Linked DNA regions of Notamacropus eugenii. The protein of the gene in region 4 purifies or fractionates together with the protein of the main gene of each other region. This does not show direct contact. Links are inferred from orthologs where the notes say so. Each region holds a gene or a part of one and is shown on either strand. Other genes may lie near its edges. The genes, in order: MTUS1, PTAR1, FBXO38 and SKP1.

Region 1 (7,224 bases), on a different chromosome or scaffold from region 4:
TTGGAAAGGGTTGAGAGGAGCCACTCACCTCCCAGAGAGGAAGCTGGGGGGGAGCCCTGGGGGGAGGGGTTGGCCTGTGCCATCCCTGCCAGCTCCAGGCCTGAGATCACTCCCAGTAGGACAGTGGGATGGCTCCTCCCCTGTCTTTGTCATCCATGGACTTCCCCTTCATCTGCCTCTCTAATATCCCTACTGTGCGTCAGAGTGGGTTTGGGCCTTGTGGGCCAGCTGGATTAATGGAGGTTCAGAGCCAAAGCATGGCTTTCCCTAGCCCTCGACAGTGCTGGAGGAATGAGAGGCAGCCTGGGTGGCTCTTGGGACTGGATTAGTCTAGAAAGGCTAGGTTCAGGATGATATGAAGCGGCCGCTTGTCCTTTCATCCTTACATCTTCTTTATCAGGGTCTCATGCTTCCCTGGGATGCCGGGAGCTACCACATTCCTCACTGGGGGGGAGACAAAGTCCAGCAGGCTCAGGCCAACTCCAAAAGCCTCTGCTCTCCTACCAGGCCCCGGCAGAGTTCGAGTGGCCTTTGAGGCCTTGGGGCCACCTCTCCAATTCCTCCACATCAGGCTAGGACTTTGGGGGCCAAAAAAGGCAGTGTTCCTGTGAGTCATGTAAAGGCCGGCCGGCTGTCAGAGAGGGAAGGAGGGACAAGCCATTGGGCTGTACTCGATGTTCCCATGAAAATGGAAAGCATTCCCGGAAGGTCCCCAGAACACTGGGTGGTCAGAAGAATGAAAACAAAGGCCCTGCCCTCCAGAGAGCCTCACCTGGAGGTGACAGTCACCTATGGAGATGGGGAAGCCAAGGTTACAGGGGAGTGACACAAGGCACAATGTGGAGGACTCCCTTGCAAATTCCAGGGCTTCCCACACAGTCTTCTGTCTACCAAGGTTTCTGGGAGGACCAAACACTTGGGGGGGAAGGGCAGGGCAGGACTGGGTGGTGATCTGCTTCACTGGAGAGAGCAACCACCTGAAGGAGATCTCACATCTGAGGAGTTTTTTCTTCCTAAAGGGAAAAGTTAGCTTTAGGCCAGCCCTGGTCCAACTGCCACCCAACACCAAAGCAAAGCAAACCCAGCCCTGAGGCTCCGTTCTGGGGAGGGTGTACAGTTTCTAGATAGGTCTTAAAGGCCACACCCTAAATCTGCCTCTAGCTTCAAGTCAGGGCTCTGGTCCCAGAATGGGTCAAAAGGAGAAAGTCATTCGTGGCTACAAAAAGCCAAGAAGAAAGGAGCATTCTCCGGCCTCTGAGGATTCCTTCCCAATTCCCTGGGCCTCAGTGTGTTTATATGATCAATGGGTGTTCTACCCACCAGGCTAGGAAAAGCTCCAAACAAAGTCTCAGGCGATACCCCGCACACTCCTGCAGGCTTGAGCGGGAGGGGGCGGGGAGGGGGGGAGGGGAGGGAGATCCAGGACAAGAACAACTGGATGTCAGGTCTCTGCTCTCCAGGCACCAGGCCGGGGTCCTGGGCTCTCCCAGACTTAACTATGGAGGTTAGAAGTATCAGCAGTAGCTAGCATTGTATGGCAGGTCCTGTGGTTTGCAGAGCACCTCCCAAATCCTCACACTGCCTGGGGATGGGTGGATGGGTGGGAGGGGTGGTGAGGACCTTGTATCACCAGAGAGACGCTGTCCAAGGTCCCACAGCTAGGATGGTCTGAGACTGGATTTGAACTCAGGGCTTCCTGACTCAGGTCCAGCATTCTGATTCTGGCCACCCAGAGGCCCTTAGCAGTAGACTCTCCTTGACAGGGAGATTCTGGAAGCATAAAAGTCATTCCCCAGAACTCATGGGATAGGACAGTCAGGTTCCCTCTCTCTTTATTAAAGGGAATCCAGAAAGCAGTCGAGGAGGGTGGGGGTGAGAGGAAGACAAAGGACTTGAGACTGCCAGACAGGGGCCAGAATTCCGCCTCAGGCTGTTCCTGAATGGGGGACCCTGGGTGAGCTGCTTGGCCTCAGTGTGCCTCACTGTCCCCCTTTGTAAAATGGGAATCATAATAGACTCCAAGAGGAGGCCCCTCCCTGGGACCCTGAAAGCATTAGCATGGTCACTAAGATGCTGCTATACAAATGGGAAATGCTCTCATTCTGCAGATGTCGAAACTGAGGCTGGGGGCAGTGCCTCGCCCACTCCCACCCCCATTCACACACTCACAGACTGCCAGAGGTCAGTCACAACTTTTGAATTCAAGGGCTGTGCCTGGCCCTTAGCCCCTTCCCCCCAATACAGGAGGGGAAGGGGTGGGTTGGAGAAACTGATCATCTGCTTAACCACTAGGTCCCGGAACCCCAGATTCCTAGTTAATGATGGGTTCCCTAGCCCGGTCCACACTCGGGGTCTCCCCTCCGGGGTTGGTACCAGGGGAGCCCAAGGCGTCAGCGGGGCAGCAGAGACGCCCCCTCCCACCTCCTTCGTGGGCACTTTGCCCACGGACTCCCGGGCATGGGTGTCCTCCCGTGCAAATGGGGACTCTGCAGGCGCACGGGCTGGCCCGGGCCTCTCCTTGGACAGCTGGGGAAACCGAAGTTGGGAGGGAGCAGAGCTGTAAGCCAAGGTCTTCCACGGAGGGGGTGGCCAGGCCGGTTACCCCTTGGCGACGCGCCCCGGGGAAGGTGCCCCTCTTCTTCCCCACCCCCTTCCCCCCAACACGCGCGCACACACTCCCACGCACGGAACCCGTGGCAGGGCACCCACAACCGCAGTGCGTCCTCAGGCTCGGCCCTGAGCGTAGACAGAGCCACGGAGTCACGGGCCTCCCCACCCCACTCGCCTCCCGCCTCCACTCCCTGGCCCTGGCCGTACCTTGGGGCTCGCGGGTCTGCCAGACGCTCCGTCCAAAAGCCCCAGAGTCCGGGGCCCCGAGCTCAGCCAGAGCGGACACCAGGACCCGGCTGGCCGCCGCCGCCGATCCCAAAGCGTCCAGCCGCTCCAGGGGCTGACTCCGACGCCCGGGGTCACTCCGTCCGCACCTGAGCGGCCTCGGCCGCCCCGCCCCCATCCCCTGGCCGCCCCGGCCCCGCCCCCGGGTCCTCCTCCCGAAGCCCCGCCTCTCAGGGTCAGTCCTCCAGCCTGGTGTCCCCCGGTGCTTGGGGCCCTTCCCCAGCGCTATCGCTGCGTCTGCCGGACTCGAGCCCCGGCCCTGCGTTTTGTGGGGGTCTCAGCCTGGGGCTGGAGCCCGGCGGCCCAGAGACGGGCAGGGCCCGGCCCAAGGTCACCCAGCAGCCGGGGCTGGACCTTGGGAGTCCCAAGCCGGGAGCGTGGCTGAGGCTTCTCTGTCTTCCTTCCCGGGCCACCCCGGCCTGGCCTGCGCAGGGTGCCCAAGGGCAGGGCCAGTGGTAATCCTGAGCATGGGACCCAGCCCTCCCGTCGTGGGCCACCCTGGCCCGGCCTGCGCAAGGAGCCTAGGGGCAGGGCCAGTGCCAGCTCCGCGTGTCCCTGACCCTCAGGTAACACTGACCCAGCCCTCCCGTCGTGGGCCAGCCCGACCCGGCCTGCGCAAGGTGCCCAGGGGCAGGGCCAGTGGTAACCCTGAGGATTGGACCCAGCCCTCCTGGCCTGTCACAGCCGCCAATTGTGTGTGCTGCTGGGGAACCTGTTTGACTTCATTTTTTCCAAGAGATCCACATCGGGGTGGGGGAGAGGAGAAAAAGCCCAGCCCTGAGCTGGGAGCTGCAGGGAACCCTGGGGCCCCTGGCCACCCGGTACTGGCACCCACCCTCGGGATGCCTTCTGGGGGCAAGCAGTGCTGAAACTGAGGGGGGAGGGCTGCCAGGAACCTTCACCTGGGCACCTCAGAAGCCACATGATGCCCACTGGGGCAACAATTAGAGAGTCAGACCAGAAGTTCAAAGAGCCAGATGAGGAAACAGGATCAGGGAGGAGAACCTAATCACCCAAGGTCACGCTGGCAGTAAATGGCAAAGGTAGGATTTGAACCCAGAGCCTTTGACTCCAAACCCACCAATCTTCCCACTGGGCTAGCATCCACTTACTAGTTAGATGATCTTGGACAAGTCTCTTTCACTCTCTAGGTCTCAGTTTCCCTCTCTGTAAAACCTAAGACCATTCAATCCTAGCTCCAGAGCTGGGGAGGGTCTCAGCCACCCTCTCCTTTTACAGGTGGAGAAACTGAGGCCATGGGCAGAAGTGACTTGTCAAAATTGACCCTGCTTAGGCACACCATGTACAACCAGGACCCCCAGCTCCAGACCCAGGGCCCCTAGTCTCCCAGGTACCATCAGCCCCCTTGGAGCAGGGGGTCCTTGCACTTGCCCCAGGATGTCAGAAGAGGAGGCCTTGCTTTGTCTGTCTTCCAGCCAGGGTCCAGGAGTCAGGCATCCCATTGAGTTACATGCACCAGTCTCCCGATTGTTTTCCTTTGACAGATGAGTGTTACAAATAGCCATGTGGTTATTAGTCTTTCCCACCACAGGTCTGACTCATTCACCCCTGGCATCCGTTCTGGCACCTCCCTGCCCCACTGGCATCCAGGCATTGCGTAACCCTGGGCATCAAAGTTCTCCAGGCTAGGGGCTTGCTCCTCACCAGACTGAACCCCCTGAGGGCAGGCCCCAGACTTCTCAGTAGTCTGTGGACCTGGTGTTGAATAACAGTATCCTATTGTGCAGCCTGGCTGACCCCAGCACCCATGGGTGAGGGGGGGCAGAGGAAGAGGATCCCATGGCGAGCCAATGCCCAGTGAGCACCTCCCAGCCCCCTTCTCCAAGGCTCCAAATGCACTGTCCTGGCACACACCTGGGGAGGCTGCCCTGTGCCCCCAACGCCAGGCCAGTCTCACTCTGTGAATCTTAGATTGGAGACTCCAGGGTTTGGCCTCTCAAGGCTGAGAACACAGGGTCCCTACCAACAAGGGAGCAAAGAATCAGCAGGCCTGCTGTCCTGAAAGGTGGGGGCAGCCTCAGGGCCGTTCTTGAGAGCCAAATCCCAGGAGGCTGCCCGCTTGTAACATGCCTCTGATCTCTGCCACACTCACCCTCCCCTGAACAAGCAGGGGAGCATTCCATAGTCAGTCAACAAGCTGACTACAGGCCAGGAAGGCCCTCTCAGAGAAACTGAGGCCAGTGCCACACCCTCGCTTTGCCAAGCAAAAGACCCTCTACAGAAATGCCAGCCTGGGGCATTTGACATTTTATGGCAAAAGAAAACAATCAAATCATCCTCCTCTGAGAGTGGTGACTCAGCTGGGCCACAGGCCTGTGGCAGAGGAAGGCTTTCCTCTTCCTCTACAAGAGATATGTTTGTTGTAAATGGATGTCCAAAACCAGTTGTGGGCAGCCCTCCTGTGACCAATCGGAGCATGACTGTCCTTAGCCTTATTCATCCTCTTGGGGAGTCCTCCCTGGAGATTCAGCTGCCAAGACCAAAAAGCACTTGTTGATCAGGCCACTGTTTCCAGGTAAACCAAGTCTGGTAGGAAGGACGTTGTCCATTCATGTGGCCCAAATTGGCTCTCATACCCTGCACTGAACCAGAGGCAGCTCTGTGTCAGAGTGGGCAGAGTGCCAGGCATGGAGTTGAAAATGCCCAGTTCAAATCTAACCTCCAACACTTACCAGGTGTGTGACCCTGGTCAAGTCACTTAGCCTGTCTGACTCAGTTTCCTCAACTGTAAACTGGGGATAATAATAGCATCCACCTCCCAGGTTTGTTGTGATGGTCAAATGAGATAATAAAGGTAAAGTGCTTAACCTTGAACTTAGTACACAGTAGGTGCTTAATCAATGTTTGTACCCTTTGCTCTTCTATGCCCAAGGCTCCTCCTTCAGAGAGGCAGGCACAAGGAGGGAATGTTGGGAATCTAATACTGAGCCATTGACTGTGGATTTGCACCCAGCTCCCCTGAACCCAGACAGATGCACGTTGTCTCTATAACAAGCCATGGGAGGCTCTTGAGAGGAGCCTCTCCGAGGGCAGAGACTTTCAGGGGTTCTCCATTAGGCTAATTACCATTCACCCGATCCTCCGGCGTAACCGAATCCGGAGCCTGCCTTCCCGCGGTCATTATTCCCATCCCGAATGTCGGTCTGTCTGTCATCAAATATTTATCTTCTCCTTTGTTCTCTGGAAGGCGTCTGAGTGTGGAGAAGGACGCGGCGGACACGAGTGCAGGATAGTAGGACCGAGATGGAGGCTGCGAAGCGATCGGGGCCAGAACGTGCGGAAGCCAAGGGGCAGCCCCGCCCGTTTTCTTCATTTATCCATTTGATTCCTCTTTATCTTATTAATTAGTTGGTTTTTCTTTTCTTAATCTTCGTTTAAGCTCATTGAGCATGCAATTTTCAGAAATTTAATGTTTGGGCGGGCTTGGGGATTTTAACTTATTTATTTTTCTTTCTTTTTTCTCCTTAATAGTATTTTTAACCCAATGACATGTGAAAATAGTTTGGACATTTCTTTTTGTAAAATTGTGAGTTCCAAATTTTTCTCCCTCTCTCTCTCTCCACCCCCCTTCCCAAGACAGCAAGCAGTCTGACATACAGGTTATACATGTACAATGTTAAATCTATTTCCACATTAGTCTTGTGGAAGAAGAATCAGAGCAAAAGGGGAAAAACCACAAGAAACAAAACAAAAAAAGAAAAATAGTCTGCTTCCATCTGCATTCAGACTCCATAGTTCTTTCTCTGGATGTGGAGAGCATTTTCCATTGGAGTTGTCTTAGATCCAAGCATTGCTGAGAAGAGCTAAGTCTATCAAAGGTGGTTCTCGCACACTGTGGCTGTTACTGTGTAGAGTGTTCTGGTTCTGCTCACTTCACTCAACATCAGTTCAGCAAAGTCTTTCCAGGTTTTTCTGAAGTCTTCCTGTTTATTTCTTATAGCACAAGAGTATTCCATTGCATTCATAGACCACAACTTGTCCAGCCATTCCCCAATTTATGGTCATCCCCTCGATTTCCAGATCTTGGCCACCACTAAGAGAGCTGCTAGAAATGCTTTTGTACATGTGGGTCCTTTTCCCATTTGTATGATCTCTTTGGGATACAGCCCTAGAAGTGGTGTTGTTCACAGTCCCTTTCATCCCCCACCTCTCCATCCCTGGGAGGACTGCTGCTTCTCTTTTATCCATCCACTCCCTCTTTCCTTCTGCTCGGAAGGATGGCAGCTATTTGTTATCATGCCCACCACATTTGGAACCAAAGCAGTCAGTCATGAGAAACTTTATTCCTTTAATTGCTTGTACATGTTA
Region 2 (7,608 bases), about 240 Mb from region 4:
ACCCCCACAAATTTACAATAAATTATTAAATTTAAGATGCATCATTTAAAAAATTATATTTTCTTGAAATGACACCAATTAAAAAAAAACTCCAAAACTGTTAAAGGGTTAAAGAAAGCAGATTTTGGGGGGAGAGTGCTAAGTAATTTTTTTTTTTTTAAGGAGGCAATTGGTCAAATAAGTTTGGGAACCTTCTGTGTATTATAAAAGGCTGAGGTCAGTCTTCCTTTTTCAAGCCCTTCCTCATTCCATGGAGGAATTTACGACCAAACAGGAGATAGAGAACATCATGAAATGCAAAATGGATAACTTTGATTACATCAAATTGAAAAGTTTTACACAAACAAAGCCAATGCAACCAAGATTAGGAGGGAAGCACAAAACTGGGAAAGAATTTTTGCAACTAGTGTCTGTGATAAAGGTCTCATTTCCAAAACACATAGAGAACTGAGTCAAATGTATAAGAATATAAGCCATTCCTCAATTGATAAATGGTCAAAGGATATAAACAGGTAGTTTTCAGAGGAAGAAATTAAAGCTATCTATAGTTACATGAAAAAAATGCTCTAAATCACTATTGATTAGAGAGATGCAAATCAAAACAACTCTGAGTTACCATATCACACCTATCAGACTGGTTAACATGACAAAACAAGAAAATGATAAATGTTGGAGAAGCTGTGGGAGAGTTGGAACACTAATTCATTATTGTTGGAACTGTGAGTTGATCAAATCATTCTGGAGAGCAATTTGGAAATATGCCCAAAGGCTTATAAAACTGTGCATATCCTTTGACCCTGCAATACCTCTTTTAGGGCTATATCCCAAAGAGATCTTAAAAATGGGAAAAGGACCCACATGTACAAAAATATTTATAGCAGCTCTTTTTGTGGTGACTAAGAACTGGAAATTGAGGGGATGCCCATTAATTGCGGAATGGCTGAACAAGTTGTGATATGAACGTAATGGAAAACTATCGTGCTATAAGAAATGATGAACAGGGAGACTTCAGAAAAACCTGTAAAGACTTATATGAACTGAAGCTGAGTGAAACGAGCAAAGCCAGGAGAACACAGTAATAGCCACAGTGTTAGAGGACTGTTTTTGATAGACTTAGCCCTTCACAGCAATGTAAGGATCTAAAACATTTCCAAAGGACTCATGATGCAAAATGCCATCAACATCCAGAGAAAGAACTATGGAGTTGGAATAAAGAATGAAGCATACTGTTTTCTCCTTGGTTATGTTTTGTTTTCTTTCTCATAGTTTCTCTCATTCATTTTAATTCTTCTATGTGACAAGACTAATGTGAAAGTGTGTTTAATAGGAATGCATGTGTAGAACCTATATAAGATTGCATGGGGAGGGGGAGAAAATTTGGAACTTGTGGAAATGATTTTTGAAAACAGAAAACAAATTAATAAGCATGGAAAAAATGTCTTTCCCCATTCTGGTACATTTTCCACAAACTGATCTTTTGAAAGCACAGGTGGCTTCCTACCTCCAGTATCAAATACAAAATACTCTGGTTTTAAAGTGATTTATAACTTGGTCCTCTCTTGCCTTTCCAGTCTTCTTAAACTTTACTTGCCCCACAAACTCAGCAATCCAGTGACACTGGACACTTGACTGCATTTTTACTGACCTAGAACTGTCCTTCCTCGTTTCTGCCTCCTGCCTACCTTCAAGTCTTAGCTAAAGACCCGTCTTCAAAAAGCTTTTCACAGTCCTTAATCTTAGTACTTTCTCTCTGAGATTATCTCCAATTAATCCTGTCTATATCTTATTTGTAAAGAGTTGATTCCACGTTGTCTTCCTCATTAGACTATGAACATCTTAAGAGCAGGAACTGGTGGGGTTTGGGGGGTTTTTTGGTTGCCTTCCTTTGTCTCCTCAGTGCAAGGCAGATTGTAGGCACGTCTTGCTTACTGATAGACCTGGTAAAGGGAGAGAAAGGACTGACATATAAAATTTAGAGTTGGAAGAGAACTTGGATGTCATGTGCCACCACTTATTACACATGAGGAAACTGAGGTCCAAAGAGAGGCCTAAAGTTACTTGTCCAAAATCACTGATATTAAGTGGTAGAAATGGGTTTGGAAGTCAGGATTTGTTACTCTACACCCAGCATTTTTTCTACTGTATCATACTGTCTCTCTCAAGAGTGAACCTAATTGACAATACCTGCTTCATCAGATAGCAGGATGAAAATATTAATAATAATATGCCTGATTGAAAACAAACTTGTGACACGAAAGTCTACACGTTACTTTTCTTTAGGGCACTCTATGTTCTGAGCACGATATCTTACTTTGTTATTACTCTAACTTGGAATTCCATTTCCAGTCTTTGTCCCTTTGCTTAGGCTGTTCCCCTCCATACCTGGGATAACACCCTCTTTACCTGCCTCTTAGAATCCCTAGTCTAGCTCATGTGCCACCTCCTAGGGAAAATCTTTTCTAATTTCCTTAGTTTTCATAATAAAATAAATATAAAAGCCTCAACCTACATCTCAATTATCACTCATATAGGTGTCAAATTCCCAGTAGAACAAAATCCCTTTAAGGGAATGGGCTATTTTTTCTTTTTTTCTAGCACTTAGCACAGGTCCTTGGAAGATAGCAGACACTTAATGTTTGTTGGGTTTGACCGAGAAACATTTTAGAATGTTAGATTATTTGCCTATATCAAATTATAGGTAGAGTGGCTTTTTTTCCTCCCTCTTTCAATGTAGAAGCGAGAAAACAACTTCTAAGATATGCTATATGATTTTTCTTCTGCATTTGGAATATGAATCTGCTCACAAAAATTCACTTCAAACTTGAACCTCATGGATATTTTCATTGTGCAGAAGGCATTTCTAAAGTTGGGTTTCCATAACTCAGTAATCAATCAATCGATATTATTCAATAAGCATTTATTAAGCACCTATTCTGTGTCAGGTGCTGTGCAAAGCACTGGGACACTAATGTCTTTTTAACTGGGCACCATCTGATTCCAAATTATTCATCTCAATAAGGTGAATGAAGTTATCACTGTCAGCCCCTCAAAAAAGACTGCCACAACGTACAGTGAAGCCACAAAATAACGTCACCAACCACAGCTAAAAAAGAAACTCAACCACAGCCCTGGTTACCTTACCTCCTTTCCTTCCCAAAGTAGGGAAAAGGAGCAAAATATTTTCAACATCTTAGGGACCAACTCTTCAACTTTGTGATTGCTTGTAAACATTTCCCCTTTATCCTTGCACGGATAAGGATGCTAAGCTTTAGGGGTAAAGACAACACTTCAATAAGTACAAAGGTGATTAGGATTCCACATGGAGGAAGCCACAGGGGAGGGCTAAAAGCATCTATAGATTATCTGAACCTCAAATTCCCCAGTGAAAGGTGGCCCTGAAATCAAACAAGCACACAAGGAGTTGATAAACAAACGTTTATTAAACCCCTAAAATAACAGTATCATTTATACAGTGCTTTAAAAGTTTCTAGTACCCTAAATTGAGACCCAATCATGTTTTATCTCATTTTATCCTCAAATCAACCCTGGGGTAGTGTGTGTATAGGTGCTATCATTACCCCCAAACTTACCTGAAAGAAAACCGGAGGCACACAGACCCTTAAGTGATTTGCCCAGGGTCACAGAGCTATTAATGTTTCTCTTTTACTCAGGAACTCTGGGTCTTTCCCTCCCAGTTTACTGGCTACATTTGTTGCTCAAAGATCAAACCTTAAACCCAGTTCACTCTAGAGCTCCTAGACTGGACAAGTCCCCACCACCTAGCACAGAGTGAATGTAATTACTAAATAGTAATTGTTTCTCTTTTACCCAGGAACCCGAGGGTCTTCCCCTGCTAGTTTGATTTTTTTTTTTTTAAATTACAGCGCCATCCTTTGAGTCATTTAAAGAAGCCTATTCATTGAATGGGTCACTCAAAGGGTCTCCCAGCGCATCCTGGGTCATCTCCAGTCCTCCTGATGAATTTGGGCCGTTGGACCCAAATGGCTGTGGAGGAGAAGTGAGGCTGGTGCCCTGCACAGCCCTCCCTCCCTCCAATCAAAGTCAACTGCAAGTCAAGTCATCATCCTGACATCACAGTCCTCTTAGAGAACCAAGGACAAACACAACTCAAAAACCCAACACCCTACCCTCAAGAGCTTACATTCCAGGACCTGTAAGCCACCGGACAGCCAGGAGAACAAAAGCTGCTTATCTGCTGACCTGGCCAAAAATACTGAGCTTCTTCCCCGTGGGGCTTAAAAAACCAAAAGGGATGACGTGGTTAAAAGGATTGTGCAAACCTTAGGAGAGAAAACACGGGCACGCTCCCCAGGCGGCCCCGGGAAGCTCCGCGAGGCAGGAGGATGCAAATATGGGGGGAGCGCGAAGCAAAAGGCGGGGGAGGGAAGGCAGGAAAAGAGACAATGAAGAAGGCGGGCAGCCGGCGACGGAGCAGGGGACCCTCGTCCTCACCCTCGCCCCTCAGGGGAGCGCGAGCCCAGGAAGTGTTCCCCGGCTCCTATCCCTTTAACGGGCGCCTCGCCCGGGGACGCCCCGGCGTCGGGTCGGCCTCGTGCGCACAGGCGCACGTGAAGGGGGAGGGGGGAAGCCGCGAGCCCCGCCATTTTCAACGCTCCAACACCTCCCCCTCCCCTCCCCGTGGGCTGACCCGGAAGCGCTCCTGCCCTCCTCCGAGGCCCGGCGGAGAAAGACGCGGGCGCGCGCGCGCACGCACGCACACATATACACACACACACGCACACACACACATATATACACACACGCGCACACACACATACACACACTGGGACACGGAACCCTCTACCCTCCTCTCCGCCCCCGGGAACATCCAGCAGTCAGCCTCCCGACTTACTTTCTGCAGCTACCGCTGCCCCCCTATCCCCCCAATTTTTTTTTAATAAAAAAAATGGCAGAGTCTACGGAGGAGGTGGCGGTGCTGGTGCAGCGGGTGGTGAAGGACATCAACAACGCCTTCAAGAGGAATCCTCACATGTGAGTTGGCCCCAACTCGGGGGAGGGGATGGACGCACGGACGGACGGACGGATGGTCGGACTGATGGACGGAGCTCGGAGGACAAGCGCCGGCCTCTTAGCCCTACTCCGATCAAGGAGCCTCCAGCGACCGCTATCTGCCCCGGAGGACACGAGGCCGGCCTCTCCCCTCCCTTCCTTCCTCCTCTCTCCCTCCTCTTCCCCTCTCTCGTCCTCCTTTCCCTCCTTCCTTCTCGTCCTCTTCCATCTTTTCTTCCTTCCCTTACCCCTTTCTTTCCCTCCTTTTCTAATGCTTCCTTCCTCTTCTTCCTCCTCTTTCTCTGCCCCCTCCCCCTTTCCTCCTCTAGTGTCAGTTAAGGTCCAAAAGGTGATCTCGACCTTAAAACGAAGGGGTTTCTCCTTCGTTTTTCTCTACCATCATCCCTCCTCCCCTCCCCCCATCCCAAACAAGTTACATTTTTCTTTTCCTTTGCTACTTTGTTTCAGGGCTCTCCTCTGAACCCTCGAGCCTAGGCCGGGAGGGGACAGATCCAGAGCTGCCAGGGACCTCCGGGGCTGGCTAGTCCAACTCCCTCCTTTGACAAATAGGGAGAGCGGAATTGCAAGTGAAGGGACTTGCTCAGGGACCTCGGAACCCTTGCTCCAGGCAGCACATCTCACTGCCTTCTTACTCTCATTTTACTAATGAAGAAACTGAGGCTCAGACAGGTTAATTGAGCAGCCAGCCCAAGGTCACAGCTACTCAGATTTTCTGATTTCAAGACCACTTGTTCTTTCTACTGTATTGAGATAGAAACTAACCATTAAAGGAGGAATTCCCTCTACCAGTTACAGATCTGCATCTGCCCTGCAGTGGAGAGTCTTAGATAGTTGCCCAGGGCACTGGGAAGTTAAGTCACTTGTGCAGGATCTCCCAGCTATTAAATTCTTCTTGAATTACAGGTTCCTGGCTTGGGAGGCCTGTTCTCTGTTCATTATGCTGTGCTGTCCCTCTTATGTGGGTATTGCCTATTTAAAAAAAAGTATTTTAAGGTTTTCAAAGCTTAGAAGGGCTATAGTGAGGAGTGGAGAATTTTTTAACTGCCCTGCCCTGTTGAAAGGTTCTGGATTTTTGCCTTTTCCATGTCACTTGACTCTGGTCAAGACAATTATAAAATACATAAGAACGGTTTGGGCACCCCATAAAGGAAGATTTGGGGGGGGGGTGGATATAGGTGCTGATAATCTCAAGTACCTGCTGAATCTATTAGGTATAGGATGAGGATTGGGGTAAAGCAAACCAAACTTTAATACTGCTCTATCTGTGTCATAATCATCACCCACACTATATGGGACTCTTTATTTTTGTTCCAGCCTCATTACCTACTTAAGTTTAACACAGCAGAGATGATTTCCCTTTTTTGGATAAAATGTGGACTAATCACCTGTTTAGATCAAGGTATAACAGAAATGTAGTTCAGAACAAACTTCAGCAGTCATCTAGTTCACACAGTTTTATAGAGGAGGAAATCAGATATCAGGGACTTGCCCAAGATCAGAGGCAAAATTTGAACCCAGGCCCTCTTCTTCCAAAGGTAATGCCTTTTCCACTGTAACATTCTAACTGTGCTCCTCTATTGTACACACGATATCAAGGGTGAGGAGGTCACTCCAGCATGATGGGAATAGGGAAAGACACTGGGAATATAATTTTTTTAAAAAAAATGACACAGACCTTGCCTGCTCTCAAGAAATTTATAGTCTCTTTGTGGGTTAGGATATTTATACAGATAAATTTCATAAAAGGTAGAGTGGGGACAAAGGAGGGAACCAGACAAAATGTTCTCTTCTTCTACTTCTCTCCCCACCATCCCAGCTGTCTTTTGGCTCTTCAAAATTAAAGTAGTCAGACGGATGTCTAGGAGTAACCATAGCAATTACTGAGTCCTAAAATTGGGAGTTTCATTAAACTCACAAATAACTGAAGGAGAGAAGGGAACATTTTCTCACAGTATTAAATGTATGTTTTCTTTGATGAAATAGCAGGAGGTAAAAGCAAGTCAGTCGTCCAGCCACCTTTTCAGGTTGCTCTAAATTCTTTACAGGCTTGTGAGGTGGACTGAGATGACATCACTTGGTAGGGCAAGTCTAGATTTATTAAAACAAGCACAAGTCAGTAGATGTGGTGTACTCCCCTTAGGAAAGTTTTAATTGTAAAACTTCCTTAATTTTAAACCTATTAGCTCAAACTTCTTGATAATTTAGAAGTAGAATAAGGAAAATAGACTGTGTGTTTTAAAATAAATGCCAACTTGTTTGAGATGCATTCTTAAGGAATAACATAATTTAGGTTTATTGTGACCTTTGATTCTTTTAACTAATATTATTTTATAATAAGTATTAAATTTTCATTTATATCATCTCCAGCACTAAACTATTCCTGTAAATTTGGACTTTTCAGTAATTCATATAAAACTGCTAGATTCTCTTATTTCAAATAAATGCTTTTAAATTTATAAGTAAATGTAAATAAAGGGTGAATGCTTTCTTTGAAAGCTGTCTTTGTATTTTTATTACAAAAAATTTTTCTGACCTTTATCTTTTCCTTCTGTAATT
Region 3 (7,513 bases), about 69 Mb from region 4:
TGAAGCTATCAACATTCATACATATAAATGCTAATATCCTGACTATTGCTGTTCATCCGTACAACTTCTCCCTGAACACGTTAGTCTGCTCTCTAATCAGAATCTCCCATTCTTCCAATTTACCCATACCACCATACTCTTAAACCTTTCTCTTCACCCTCGGCATGACCTCTAAATCTTCCTTCCAGTCTTTTAAGCCCTTTAGAAAGAGATGCTAAGTTAGCATCTAGCATTCTTCAATATGTTCAAGTCATTAGGCCTAGATAAATTCTAGCCCTTAAGTACTGAAAGAAATTATGATTGAATGAAGAGGTACCCCATAGACAAGTTGTGGAGATGGACAAATAGAGTTTCAGTTTTCAAAAAGGGGAAAATTTGCTGTTCAAGAAAATTCGGCTTAGCAGTACTACTTCTGGGATGATGTAATAACCACATTTTAGGTCTCTTCTAATGGTAACCTGTCTTGCTTCCCACTTAATCATAAAACATGAAACAAGACTCTTCTAAAACATAATTTTTATTCTTGCTTCCTTTGAAAACTGGAGTTCTCGTATTCTATTGAGCTTGGAAAAACAAATCATTCCCTGCTATTTCAAATTTTTTTTATTCTATTGTTCCAAAGCCCATACTAACTATATTGTTTAATGATTAAATGTCCAGATTATCTATCTCCCCTACCACAGTTCAGATTATCTCTCACCTACTCACATTCTCCTGTCTTGTAAAATTTAAAATTAATAATAAATGCTCATATTCATATAGCTCTTCATGGCTTACAAAGCACTTTATTCACAACTACGTTAGGTTGTTCTGCCTGGCATTTCTCCTAATTCTCTTTCATTCTGCAAAGAGCTTATAAGGTAATAGGATTTAGTGCCAAAAGATTAACTAGTATAACCTCCTTATTTTACAATGGACAAATGAGGCCCAGAGAAGACAAGTGACTTAGCCATGCTTAAAGTATCAGAGCTAGGAATTCAAGCCTAGATCCTCTACCTTTTTCACTCTACCAGTTCAACCCTCAACTTCTGTGGTAAGAACACTTCCTCCTTCCTTAATGTTTTCTGCATCCTGAGATTTCTAAGATTTCCCAGATCAGACAGAGGCATATTCTTACCTTAATATCTTCCATTCTCAACTTCCTCAATTCAATACTCCCTCTTTCACATGACGACAATTCCTCAGGTTTGATTACCTTATACCAGCACAAATATTTCAAAATTTAGAAGCAACCAAACATACAGTTCAAGTAGTGAACTTGGAAATTTCAGGTGCCTGATACTTAACTCTTTGTCTCTTCCCATATCAATGGACAAAGCCTATTACTATATCTTTCAACTGAAAAAGGGATTAGAAAAATACTGCCTGCATACAAAAGAGTAAAACCAGCGAGTAGAAATCACATGATGGCAGCTTAGAGCTTAATATGAGACCCTCCTAACAATTAGAATAACACAGAAGTGTTATGAATTATCTTGGAGAGGTGAGGATTCACCACCTCTGGAGAGTTTCAAGCAGAGGGCAGATGAGCAACCATTTGTCAGGGAGGTTATTATTAAGATTAATAAAGGGTTGGACTTATAATTCTCCATTTAGCTCCCTGATCTCTTCAGTAAATTCTCTTTTAAAAAGGCTCAATCAAATCATCTTGTCTATTGGTTATTTAATTTGTCTCTTTGTCCAGTATATTACAATGTCAATCAGCTCAAAATCAATTCCACTAAAATCATTCTATACAACCTATAAAACACACTCCCACACCCTGAAACACACCCACGTTCAATTTTACAATTTAAATGAAATGAGGATATCCTACCTTATATTTTTAAAAGGAAAAGGGATAACTAAGTTCCCTTGAAGTTGTAGGCTTCTAAAGCTCATACATAGAGCCGTAAATGGTCAAGCATTATACAAACAGCAGTAATTGTTAATATTAATAAAAGACTCTTCAGGAGATAAAGATAAAATAAGAGTCCCTGCCTATGAAGCTAATATCTAGTGGAAGAGATCAAGACAGAAATAACTACAAAATAATTTACAATATAACAACTAGAAGAATGGTACCTCCGAGTTACCTTGGGAATTGAAAGGTAAAGATATGGCTTCTGTCTCACAATGAAAACTCATGGAAGGTTAGCAGGAGGTGGCATTTGAACTGGACCTTGAAGGAAGGTTCAAGTTTCAACAAGTCAAACTGTCAGGGTGAGCAGAGAAGCCCATGGAAAATCAGTCCTACAAGAAACCTTTAGGACCACCGACTCCACCCTTGCCCAAACTCTGCTCCATGCCAGGGAAGGGGCTTGCGATATTTCCCATAAAGATGGAATGACGTATTTCTTTTTTCATCTCAGGCAGAACACGTTTCCCCAAGATTTCCTCAAGCCCCCGATTCATGGGCTCATACTTTACTCGGCTTGGTCTCAGCGCTTCCCCTCCCTTCCTGCCCTCCTTCTCTACTCCAGCCACAGGGCACCCCTCGGCGGCCCCCGCCCCGGCTCTGCGTCCTTCTCGCTTCTCCCCATCCCCCCTCTTCCCAGCCAGGTGTCCGGCTCCCACCGTCCACCGCCCCCATCCCCGCCTGCTCCTCCACCCTGTCCGTGCCCTGCTCCCACCCTCGCTCTCCTGCGCCCCCGCCCCCGGCGGGTCCCGGACACCCCCGTGCGCCCCCTCCCCCTTTCTCCTGCGTCTCGCGGCCGTGACAGCGGGGCTCCCCCTCCCCCATTACCGGGCGCCCGGAGGCCGAGGCTGCGGCGGAGGCTGCGCGGGGCTGGGCCCGCGGGAGGACCATGTTCCGGCTCCGAGGCTGCGGCTGCGTCTGTGAGGGAGACACAAGAGGAGACACGGGCTCAGGAGGGGCGCAGCCGCCGCGCCCCGTCCGGACCCGGAGCCTCCCGAGGTTTGGCCGGTGCCTCACCTGCCCGGCGGCCTCCTGTCTGTTATTGTGGCTCGGGAAGGGGGAGGGAGGGAGAACCCCGGCAAGCACTTCCGGCTCCGCCGCCGCGCCGCTTCCTTTTCCGTCGCTGCCCAGGACCACTTCCGGGGCAAAATTGCGTGGGGTGCCATGTTAGGAGTGGCGCCGTGAGGATAAGCCGAAAACACCATGTTGTGTGTGGTGGATGTGGGCGTTAAATTGTCGGGGAAAGGAAATTAGTGTGGGGTAGCCTTGGGGTGCCCTACTGGGCCAGCTGCTGACACACTGTGACACTTTGGCGGGGGCACCTTCCCTCATTGAGCCTCAGTTTTCCGCACCTGTAAAACGGAGAACGACTTGGCATAGATGGAATCGACCCGAGGTGATGAAAAAGAACCCTTCTAAGGAGACCGATCGAGACGTGAGTGCTTGTCCCATCATTTCCTTCTTCTCCTCCCTAAAATGAGGGGGTGGACTTCAGGAACTATAAGGCCCTTTCAGCTGTGTCCTGTGATTTCTTTAATCAGTCAACATTTATTAAGCTCCAGCTGTGTGCCAGCCATTGAAAAAAGCGCAGGATTTTGTCAGTGCGACAGAGACCTTCATGGAAGCCTCAACGTAGGTTGAGGAAGGACCTGGGATATCCTTTGTTCTAGCTCAGACCATCTTCTCCCCTGGGCCTCAGTTTCCCCATCAGTAAAAGGAGAGAATTGGACTAGATAAATACCAAGTTCCCCTTTGTTTCTAAATCCCTTGATTTTGTAAACCCGTTCCCTCTGGAGGCAACTCATTGCACTTGAGGACAATTAAAATTGTTTAAAAGTCTTTCTATGGTACATCCCCTCACCAGTATTCTTGCGTGCTAAACCTTTTCTATATATTTTCTAAAATATGGCAACCAAAATTTCCCCCCTAATTCTGTGAAATTTTCACAGGATCTATACCTAGAAAGAGCCTTAGATTTCATCTACCCCACTCCCTACTTGGAGAGTAAACCTATGAGTAGGAATTGTTTCATTCTTAGATGATTAATAAATACTCATTGGTTGATATATTCAAGTGTGATTTGCCTTGCCTAAGGTCAGACTAGTCAATAACAGGATTGTGATTTGAACCCAGATCCACTGATTTCTCTTCTACTGTTTTTTCCTGCCTTATAAATGCTCAATGATTTATTGGGCACACTGCTTTTATTTCTCTGAATTACTCCATACACAATAACTCTATTCTCTGAATTTATAAATGACTTTGAATTTGTATGCCTCAGGTTCTTAAGCAGAAGATCACCATATTCCTGGTTGTATTGTGGATGACTTTGAGAATAGAGAGTTTGAAGGAAAACAGGAAACTAGGGAAAAGTTTTTACAGCATGTTTCTATGATGAGAAATCCTCATTTCTCAAAGATATAGGAAACTGAAGCAAACTTATAAAAATAAGAGCTATTCACCAATTGATAAATGGTCAAAGAACTTGAACAGGCAGTTTTCAGAAGAATAAATCAAAGCTATCAATAGTCATGTGAAAAAATACTCTAAATCACTATTGATGAGGAAAATGCAAATTAAAGTAACATATACTACCTCACACCTATCAGATTGGACAACATAATAGAAAAGGAAAATGACAGATGGTGGAGGGGATGTGGAAAAATTGGAACAATAATGCATGGTTAGTGGAGTGGTGAACCAGTTCAACCATTCTGGAGAACGATGTAGAATTTACAGTTTAGTCCAGAGAGCTCTAAAACTGCATACTCTTTGACTCACCAATATCACTACTAGGTTTGTATCTCAAAGTGATCATAGAAAAAGGGAAATTAATGTATTTGTACAAAAAGATGCAGCTCTTTTTATGATGGGAAAGAATTAGAAATCAGAGGGGTGCCCATCAATAAGGGAGTGGTCAAACAAGCTGTGGTATATGATTGTGATGGAATATTATTGCACTATAAAAAGTGACAAGCAAGATGGTTTCAGAAAAACCTGGGAAGACATATACATTGAAGCAAAGTGAAGTGAACAAAACCAGGAGAATATCACACAAAGGAACAGCAACAGGATAATTAATTTACCTACTCCGATGAAGGCATTGCTCCAAGATAATTCCAGAAAATTCATGATGAAAAATGCCTAGCGGGGGAAAGCTTGGGGATGATGTTGTTCTCTGCATTGTTATTGTGTATAGATTTTTGTTACTATGATGGATTTGACTTTCAAGTATCTGAATAAATGTTTTGGTTCTGCCTTCCATGTGGAGAGTCTGTGGTATTTTGTGATTCAGAATTGCCCTGGGATACTCATGGCTGCTTAGGCGCTATGAATATTGTATTCGTTCTACAGGGGAAGCAGGAATTAAGAAGCAGGGAAGCACTCTGCTCTGCTCAGAGAGAGAGGCGACTGGGATAAAATTATATCTATCTGATCCCTTAAATATAATTTTTTAGGGTATATAAATTTTAGGTTCATGCTAACCATCTGATAGCCATTTCTTAAAGAGGAATTCTTAAAAAGGCCCCAAGCTTTATATTCACAGATGAACCCCTTTCCCACCAAAGACCAATTTCACAATGAACTTATAACAAATAACAAAGAATTCCGTTTATCCAAGTCAATAGTATATCTCCATATATGGCTACTTTTGTGACAGGGCAGCTAGGTGGCACAGTGGATAGAGCACCAGTGCAGGAGTCAAGAGGACCTGAGTTCAAATCTCACCTCAGACACTTGACACTCCCTAGCTGTGTGACCTTGGGTAAGTCACTTCACCCCAATTGCCTCATCCTAGGTCATATCTAGTCATCCTGGTGAATATCTGGTCACTGGATTCAGATGGCTCTGGAGGAGAAGTGAGGCTGGTGACCTGCACAGCCCTCCTTCACTCAAGAAAAAACAAAGCCAAGTGCAAACCATGTCATTATTTCCCTGATGGCATGGCCTTCAGCAGCGAAGGTCGAACACACCTACTTTTGTGACAAATGAAAAGTTCAAGAGACTCAGTTTCAGGGTAATTAATAATTTTATTAAATATGGCTAGTGAATAAAAGGATGGTCATTTCATTTTCATAAACCAAAGAAGCATCTTGGGGGCCTCTGAATGCTTAAGAAGCCTTTGGAAAAGGTAATGTACCTGAGGGTGGAAATCAACTCAGACTGGTTAACAATTAGGGGGTAAACATATTAATGAGGAAGTAAGCAAAAAGTCTTCAGCTCCCCCTGCAGAGAGTGTGGGGAATTCAGCTGCTTCCAGCAATATGGGCAAAAGAATCCATCTTCAACCCCTTCATTTGTTAGGTCACCCAAAATTCTAATGGAAGGTCCCAAGGATGGACAGGGGCTTATTTCCTAAAGGTAAGATCTTGTTTACACTGTATTCTGTTTGTAAGGTCTCCTAGTTAGGTGGAGTCCAACCAATCAAAAAGCATGTACCTGAAGGATTTCAGTAATCTCATCCATAAGAGATGTCCTTCAAATTCTACTTGAATAACCCTACAAGGGGCAGATTTCTTAATGAGGAAATAGAAAAGGGAAAATGTTCATCTCAATTAATAAATGGTTATTAATATAAGAGAGAAATAATCATTTTTTTCACTTTCTCTGATTTCTTTTTGCTATTGGCTTAGATAAATGGGTTTCTTTTCTAGATCTGATATTCTGTCATCTATTTCCAAATCCAGTACTGTTTCTATACTTTCATATTTTGAGATCTATGTATATTTATTGAATTAACGAATGAACTCCCAGCTTTGTTACTTACTGTGGGGGACTGCTGGCATCCCCACATGGCTCAGTGAAAGCAGTGAAGAAGAAAGACACATGGGCAGGCAAGAGAAGATAGGGCAACTCCATTTGTTGATCCGAGGGTCAGGGTATTTAAAGACAGAAACTGCAAGTCTACATGACAATCTACTCATCTCCTGTCCTAGTAATTTGGCCAGTCTTATTGTCTTAAAGAATGTTAACCTAAAGGGCATTGTCTGTTTTACATATCCGTTGTATTCTGTAGTTCTCTTGTTTATCTCATGGAGACAACACATCCAGGGAGGCTTGGAGAGCAATTCTGGATGATAATGAGCACAGTCTCAGAGAACAGGTTTTCCCCGAAGTTCTATCCTGAACTTGCCACCATACTCCATCCTAGCCCTCAACAACTTACCACTCATATGACCTTGTACAAGTCACTTCAGCTCACTAGACCTGTTTTCTCATATGTAAAATGCAACCTCTAACATCTCTTCTGAATTTAAATTTTATAGGAACAAACTTCCTTTACATCTGTATCTATTCTCCCATTCCTTCAACTCACTGACTTGGCTTCTCCCACATGTCACTGCATCCTTGATATTGCTTGACCTCTATGACCTCTTCCAGAATTTCCCTTTGCCACCTTTACCCAACTTCTCATTTAAAGTTCATTCTATTAAAATCTTTCATGGTACATAGATCAAGGTGGCTATTGTGTACTGGTCATCTGTTCATTCTCCCTCTATTCCCAAGGAATTTCACACCTGAATCACTGTCTTCCTCCCTTCCCCAACTCCTATCTCTATATCAGGAGCATTCAGCATTTATGCTGATATTCCCTCATACACACTAATCTCCCAA
Region 4 (7,346 bases):
ATTTTAGGTCTGAACATATCAACTACCTCCTTCCCAAACCAATCCCCAATTAAATTCAGTAGCTCCCTATTAACTCCCATGAACAAATTAAATCCTCAGTTTGACATCTTAAAAGTTCTTCATAACTTGACCCTTTCCTACTTCCTGAGTTATTTTCCTCACTCCAGTACAATCCAGTTACACTGGTTTACTCGTTGCAAATGCCTTGCACACAAGATGTTCACTAAGTTAATATCAGTTAAATGCACTTCAGTATTACCTTTTACATTACTGTGTGTACGTGTTGGTTCTGCCTACTTTTACACAAGGTTTATTTATCCAAGAATTACTCTGGGATTCATTCTCTGAAAAAGATTCTAGCTTTAAGATTAGAAAAAAATATTTTAAAGCATCTATGAAGTTTTACATTAAATGAAAATGATCTGTAAAATTTAAAATGTATGCTATAGACTTTATTAAATGTACTGCACGTTTTACAGCTGGAAAAAATGTTACAGCTGATTCAAATATGGTGAAAGTAAGCCTTAAAATTGAATGTTGGGAGCTGAAAATGAAAGATGGGAATTGATGACCCACAGTTCCTCTACATCAAATGTTATTGCAGTGAAAATTTTTTTTTAAGTAGCAGGAAAACAGCAATATATCAAAATATTTGTGTAGAAAAAAATGCAAATTTTGAAAAGATTTCATTCCTGGACATAAAAGCAGAAGTTTGAATTCAACGTACCAAAGCTTATCCTCTTATCATACCATACCACCAAACTAACTTGAAACCAGCCCTGCCCATGGAACTGAGGCCAGTTCCACTGCAGCAGATTTACAAATACCAACAACTTCAAAATTACAGAGACTCCATTGGTTAAATAAGGCTATTTTAGAATAAGCTGCCTGCCCAAAAGGCAGATAAATCTAGAGGCTTTAAAATATTAGCTTGCATAATGCATACACACAAGTGACATTAAGAGTTTTTTGGCTAAGATGTCATGGACTACAATAAGCCTGACATTTTATTAGAATGTTAAGTTCCCTCATTCATCCAAGATCAAAAAAGTCATTAACAAATTTGCTTGGTCACAAACTTCAGACCTATCTGGTTACTCTGGAATCTTTAAGATCTTAAATAGCACTGAAGGGATGTTAATCCAGAATTCAAAGAAATTTAGTCATCAGCCCTGGAAACAGCTCCACACAACGCTGCACTCCCCTCCCCCCAAAAGCCCTATTTCCAGAGAAGTGAATCTTCTGAAAAGTAGCCACCTAAACGTTAACGACTACAAATCTGAGTTCCTAAAATCTATGAATACTATTGGTTATATTTATTCCCTTCCTGATTAAATGGGTATGCATTTCTATTACTAAGATGAAGTACATTTATAAATGTCTGAGGTCTTAATATTTCTAACGCTTCCAACTTAAACTGCAAAATGATTTACGACAAATCCTGTCCATGAGGCTTACTGAAAACGTTCATGAAAAAAGCAGAAACATTTTGCCTCCAGGAACACGGAAAGTGTCTTTTTTCCCCTCAAGTCTTGCCATGCAGAAGGGATCCTTTCCACTTGCTTCTTTTGCCACAGATCAGGAAGGCCGTATTTTTAATGCACTGCAGAGCTGGCTCCTACCCCACTGTCCTCGGAGGGAGCTCTAGGGTCCAGCAGCTCCGGGGCTTGAACGCGCCTCGCCAACAATCCACGCCGCCCGCCCCCCGGCCCCGGCCCCGGCCCCGGCCCGGGCTCTCCTGCAGCCGCGGCCTCCCGGCCCTCCGAAGCCACACTCCGCCTAGGACAACGACCACTCTCCCGTCGCGGGCAGGCCGGGGCGGCTGGCAGGTGGCTCCCGAGATAGCGCAGTCATGTTGTTTACCCAGCGTTCGCAGCAGAGCGAACAAACAAAACGCACAAATGCCTTTACAATCCAGGGCGCTCCTACCGACCGGACCAATTTTACAAGAGGAAAAACCGAGACCCTCCCCCTGCACAGCAGGTGAATAAGGAAGTCTGGGGCTTCAACAGAACGGGAATAAGGGCCCCCCCCCTTCTAAGGACTGGGCCGGATTACCCAGCTCCGACTACCCACAACAAATCTGCTGAAGACCCCCGCGAGAGGGGTATAAAGGTAGACCCTTATGGCAAGGGGAGCACAGGAGGTGCCCCATCATTGAGGAGAACTAGCTCGGGCTCGGAAGGAGCCGGCGAGGGAGGTGCAGACGACCCTGGGGAAGGGGGGAGGGCCGAGGGTCGCACGCTGGGCGAAGCTGAAAAGTAGTTCAGGCTCCCCGTGGGAGCGGGCAGGGAGGCAGGCAGACTACGGGGGGCCGGAGAGGGGCCGTGAACGGGGCGCGGGCCTCGGGGGACCCCGGCGGCAGGTATACAGGCTGACCGAGTCAAGGCGCCTAGAAGCGGGACGGCCTGTGGCGTGTGAAGCTAACGTCGGAGCTCGAGCGGCCTGGAACAAGGGAGGGGAACAGGGTCAGGGCTCCCGCCTGCTCTGGCGGCCGGAAACGCCGAGAGAACGGGCAGGGGATGGGGGGCTGGCGAGCTCCGAAGGGAGCGGGCGAGGCCTAGGCCGCCGCCACACAGCAACAACGGGGCCGCGCCCCGCGGCTCCTCCTCCACCCTGCCTTCCCCAGTGCCGAGACCACTTACGGTTCCGGATGCCCGGGGACCCCGGCGGGCAAGCTGGCGGAGCCGAGAAGACCCGGTGGGCTAAGGGACAGGCGATGAGGGGAGGGAAGGCCCCGAAGCAGCGCGGAGCACCAAGACCACTACAGAAGCAGCGCCAGTGGTGGCGGCCTTTATAAGGGCGGACAGAGTGGAGCCAAGGACCCCAGGCCTGGTGACGTCACAGAGCACGCTGGGATGTCCGAGGACATTGCCTGACAGGGGAACGAGCACACACCCACCGAAAGGGGCCTTCTCTAGCCTCCTCTCTTCTGGCACTCTCGGAGGAGCTTTTGTCATTTCCACCCGTCCTGAGAGGGGCAGGCCTGGAGGCACAGGCAGGCTGGCTCGTTGAAGCTCCTGCAGCCTGGGGGCGGGGTCCTTCAGGCAGAGGCTGTCTTCAGCAGAATGCTCTGGAGCTGGGGAAGTTCATGGAGTCTACACCGTGGGTCTTTGTGGGGGACGAGCAGCTCCTGCTTATCTCTGAATAGCCAGAGAGCCAGTGAGGGACCCAGTGAAGGACAGCTGCAGGTCATTTTAAGGAATTTAACTTCTTGGGAGATGGGTGGAGAAACAGGAAAATTAAAGAACCCCCGATTTCTCTGATAGTTTACATTTTTGGACAGAAAACCTTTATTTTACAACGTGCTTTCCTCAAAATAATCCTGATAATTCAGAAAACATTATCCTCATTTGACAGCTAAGGAAAGCCAAACTGTTCCTGCCCTTTTCTATTTTCTTACTCGGTGACCTCATCAGCTGCCTTGAAATCTAATGATCATTTCTGTGCTGATGCCCTTTCCATATACTTAAGTTACCTATTAGACACCCCCAACTGAGCGCCCCCCCAAGGGCCTCAAACTGGACATGGTTAGAGGAAGGAAGCTGTGGGGCGGTAGAGTTGTCATTTTAGTGCTGGAGTTCAGATTTTTGCACCACCCTATGCAAAGCTGAACAGGTCACTTCCTGGGCCTCAGTTTCCTGTTCTGTAAAATGAGGTTTGAACTCATAACTTCCAACGATTTCTCTCTTTCCCCCCCAAAATTCTTCTGGGCTACACTTTTTTCTTTGGAGGGCATCACATCACTGCCTTTCCAGTCAGCCAGGCCTGGGGTGCCACCATCCTTTATTCATTCAAGTTTGCAACAACTTATTTATCAACTTCTCACTCCCCCTTATCACATATATCCAATCAGTTGTCAAGTCTTGTCGATTCTATTTCCATAATATCTCTCCTATTCTGCCCCTCCTTTGCTCTATTCACCTGTCCTCTTTAGTTCAGGTCCTTCACATCTTGCCTGGACTGTCCAGTAAACAGTCATGCCTCAAATCCATCTACTTTCCACATAGTTGTCAAAGTGATTTTCTTAAAGCACAGATAACCATGTCCCTCCCCCCTTTTTAGTAAAACCGCAACAGCTATTATTTATATATATATGTATACATATATATGTATATATATGTACCCAACTTTAACCAAATTTGCCTTACCATTGACTCTTGTGTCTCCCATCTCTGTGGCTTTGCATAGGCTTCCTAAACCAAAAATACAAAGCCATTTAGAACCTTTACTTACTCTTAAAACTGAATCTAGTCTTCAGTCTCTCCCTCTCTAGTGGTTCATTTCCTACTGCTCATGTCTCTTCTATCCTGAAAAAAATCCTCAATTGATCTTCCATCTATGCTACTGCTATATCTCTTCTGCCCACTGTAGTAGCAAACTCCTTGGAAAAGTTGTCCACAGTAGGTGTCATTTTTTCACATGAGAAACTCAGGTCTTTGAGAACGTTGAGTCTTAAGAACTTTGATCAGTGCAATGACTGGTCATGTCTCTAAAAGACGTATGAAGAAGCATGCTACCCACCACCTGATATAGAAGCGATAGACAAAAGGTACAGAGACATATTTTTGGATGACTGCTGTGCAGATTAATTTTGTTTGACTATGCTTACTTGTTATAAGTATCTTTTTTCCTGTTGCTTTTTAATTGAGGAGGGTGAGTTAGAAGGGAAGGAGAGGTCATTTATAAGCACCTACTGTGTGCCAGGCACTATGCTAAGTACTTTTACAAACATATTACTTCATTTGATCCTCACAACAATCTTTTGAGGTAGGTTACCTTTACGTTATTATCCTCCTTTTACAATTGAGAAAACTGAGGCAGAGATTAAATTACTTGCCCAGAGTAAAACAGTGAGTGTCTAAGGCTAGATTTGAACTCTTTTCCTAACTCCAGGACCAGCATTCTAACCACTACACCATCTAGAAGTTTAGAAGGACAAAGAAGGTGGATAGTTTGGGTAGAACATATGTGTGTGTGTGTATGTGTGTGTATGCACACACATACATACACACAATATATGTATGTATACATATATATATTTGATAAGCAAGCAGTATGAAATAGAGATTGATGGTTGCAAGTAGAATCCTCTTTTGTGTTCTTCTGTGTATATGGAAATGTTCTCTCACTCTCTCTTTCCCCCTCCCTGCCTCTGTTTCTGTTTAGGTTCAAAATAAAAGTAAAATGGGAAGCCTCTATAAAATTTCCTTTCTCCTGGTTAGTCTTAGTCCATGGTTCCACAACTGATAAAATGGATCACTTAAAGCTAGAGGTTCAAAATAAACTATCTCACTAATAAAAAACACATTACGCGCCCTCCCCCCCGCCCCAGTCTCCAAGACCATTAAAACTCTGCTCACAGGAAGGCAAAAAGTTCCAGGCAAGGAGACAAAAAGTAATAAGCAAAGAAGTTCCCTGAAGTCTAAAAACTCGGGCCAGAGTGGTAGCTTGAACTTTATATTCTCCCTGCCCAAAGATCCCCCAGCTGGGTCCCAGATCAGTGGGGGGAGGGGAGGTAGAGAAGTGGGGCAGTGCAATTCATACTGGCCCAGCTCTTTTTCATAGCTTCATCACTCATAACTGCCCTAGCAGGTTTTGTGGGAACATGTGGGATGTCAAAGCACTGCACTTCTTCCAGCGTCAGAGCCTGCAACACTCCTCACTTCAGCTCTGTGCTTATGTATGTATGTATATGTATATATACACACACATACACAATAATAGTAACATTATAGCCTGTATAACATATCACATAAATAACATGACATTCTAGCCTATGAGAGATATATATGCTATAAATTTTATACAGATATATATCCTATAAGATATATAGATATGTACTTATATATATTACAGGTTATAGCATATATATCTTACAGGCTAGAATGTATCTTATAGACTTAGATGTATCTAGCCATCTCTACAGATAAGTCTATCTATAGAGATGGCTAGATACATCTACATCCATACATATATCTCATTATCTCATAGGCTCTCATATTTTTTTTGTTGTTGTTCAGTCATGTGTGACTCTTCATGACCCCATTTGGGGTTTTCTTGGCAAAGATACTGGAGTGGCATGCCATTTCCTTCTCCAGCTCATTTCACAGATGAAGAAACTGAGACAAACAGGATTAGGTGACTTACCCAAGGTCACACAGCTAGTGAGTGTCTGAGGCCAGAGAGATGAGTCTTCCTGACTCCTGGGCCAGCAGTCCATCCACTGCATCATCTTGCCCCAACTATAATATTACCTGATTGTTCAGGTATGGAAGGGTCCCTTAGACCTAGTCCAACTCAAATTGAAAATCTATAATTACTTCTATTTTAGCTTCTGAATATATCTTGGCCTTTCTGCCCTTGAGGTGCAGGTAAGGATTGTTTTTAGTGAGGAACTGGAAAGATTTGGTGGGGTTTTTTGGTTTTGGTTTGTTTTTTTTTTTTTAGCCACATCCAGGGGCTCCATTTGCAGGCCTTGGCCTGGTAGGGCCATGGAGGCTCACTCTCTCCCCTTCTGCTGTTCCCAATTTCAGCCACCAGATGGTGCCAGATTCAATTCACCTTCAATTGAATAGGAAATAAAGTTTGAGGGAAGCCTTTGCATTTCTTTTCTGGAGGACCCCAAAGAACCATTTATCAACATGTGTAGGGATATCATCCTACACATGCCTATTTCTCAACAGAAAGAGCTTGATTAATCAATGAAGCTACCATCACATTTTCATCAATGACTTCAACAATTGGTATGCTTATCAAACTTGTAGGTCAAACAAATCTGCAAGAATAGTCGATAAACTTATTAAGCATCTACTGTGTGCTAGCTCTGCCACCATGCTAAGCCTGGGGGAGACAAAAAGAGGCAAAAGACAGTCCCTGCCTTCAAGGAGCTCAAAATCCAACAGGGGAGACAATAAGGACAAATATGGACACATGATCTATATATGTTGGGCCAAATCTAATGAGATGAAGTTTAAACTATTATATTCTTATACTAATTTTGTATATACTTACATATGTGCTTTGTCTCATCCCATTAGAATGTAAATTCAGGAGTAAGAACTGTTTCACTTTTGACCCCAATGCACAGGGTCTAGTACATAGTAGGTGTTTAATAAATGCTTACTGATGTATTACACTTGGCTGTTAAAAAAATCATCACTAATGCAATATTAGGGAGGTATGGCTGGATAGCAGTTCATCTGAAAAGAAAATCTGGGAGCTTTGGGTGGTTTACAAACTCAATATGGATCAAGTGTGACAAGACAGCAAAAAAACCAAACTCATTTGCTCTTAGGCTGCATTGAGCATCCAGAACAAGGGAGGTGATAGTCCCAACATACCCT

What was found.
Region 1: the proteins of SKP1 (region 4) and MTUS1 purify together in Homo sapiens (affinity purification with mass spectrometry; 3 studies listed by BioGRID and IntAct, with this or other methods). This does not show direct contact. The link is inferred for Notamacropus eugenii from reciprocal best matches to the Homo sapiens genes SKP1 and MTUS1.
Region 2: the proteins of SKP1 (region 4) and PTAR1 purify together in Homo sapiens (co-immunoprecipitation; 3 studies listed by BioGRID and IntAct, with this or other methods). This does not show direct contact. The link is inferred for Notamacropus eugenii from reciprocal best matches to the Homo sapiens genes SKP1 and PTAR1.
Region 3: the proteins of SKP1 (region 4) and FBXO38 purify together in Homo sapiens (affinity purification with mass spectrometry; 6 studies listed by BioGRID and IntAct, with this or other methods). This does not show direct contact. The link is inferred for Notamacropus eugenii from reciprocal best matches to the Homo sapiens genes SKP1 and FBXO38.

Annotation. Positions count from the first base shown.
Region 1 is NC_092878.1:168,562,034-168,569,257, reverse strand, and holds the start of MTUS1 (microtubule-associated tumor suppressor 1), read right to left. Parts: upstream 3,012-7,224; 5' UTR 2,818-3,011; intron 1-2,817. UniProt on the Homo sapiens protein: Cooperates with AGTR2 to inhibit ERK2 activation and cell proliferation. May be required for AGTR2 cell surface expression. Together with PTPN6, induces UBE2V2 expression upon angiotensin-II stimulation.
Region 2 is NC_092872.1:103,139,141-103,146,748, reverse strand, and holds the start of PTAR1 (protein prenyltransferase alpha subunit repeat-containing protein 1), read left to right. Parts: upstream 1-4,600; 5' UTR 4,601-4,927; coding exon 4,928-5,013; intron 5,014-7,608.
Region 3 is NC_092872.1:410,104,246-410,111,758, forward strand, and holds the start of FBXO38 (F-box only protein 38), read right to left. Parts: upstream 3,005-7,513; 5' UTR 2,915-3,004; intron 2,816-2,914; 5' UTR 2,726-2,815; intron 2,162-2,725; 5' UTR 2,076-2,161; intron 1-2,075. UniProt on the Homo sapiens protein: Substrate recognition component of a SCF (SKP1-CUL1-F-box protein) E3 ubiquitin-protein ligase complex which mediates the ubiquitination and subsequent proteasomal degradation of PDCD1/PD-1, thereby regulating T-cells-mediated immunity.
Region 4 is NC_092872.1:341,052,038-341,059,383, reverse strand, and holds the start of SKP1 (S-phase kinase-associated protein 1), read right to left. Parts: upstream 3,017-7,346; 5' UTR 2,646-3,016; intron 1-2,645. UniProt on the Homo sapiens protein: Essential component of the SCF (SKP1-CUL1-F-box protein) ubiquitin ligase complex, which mediates the ubiquitination of proteins involved in cell cycle progression, signal transduction and transcription.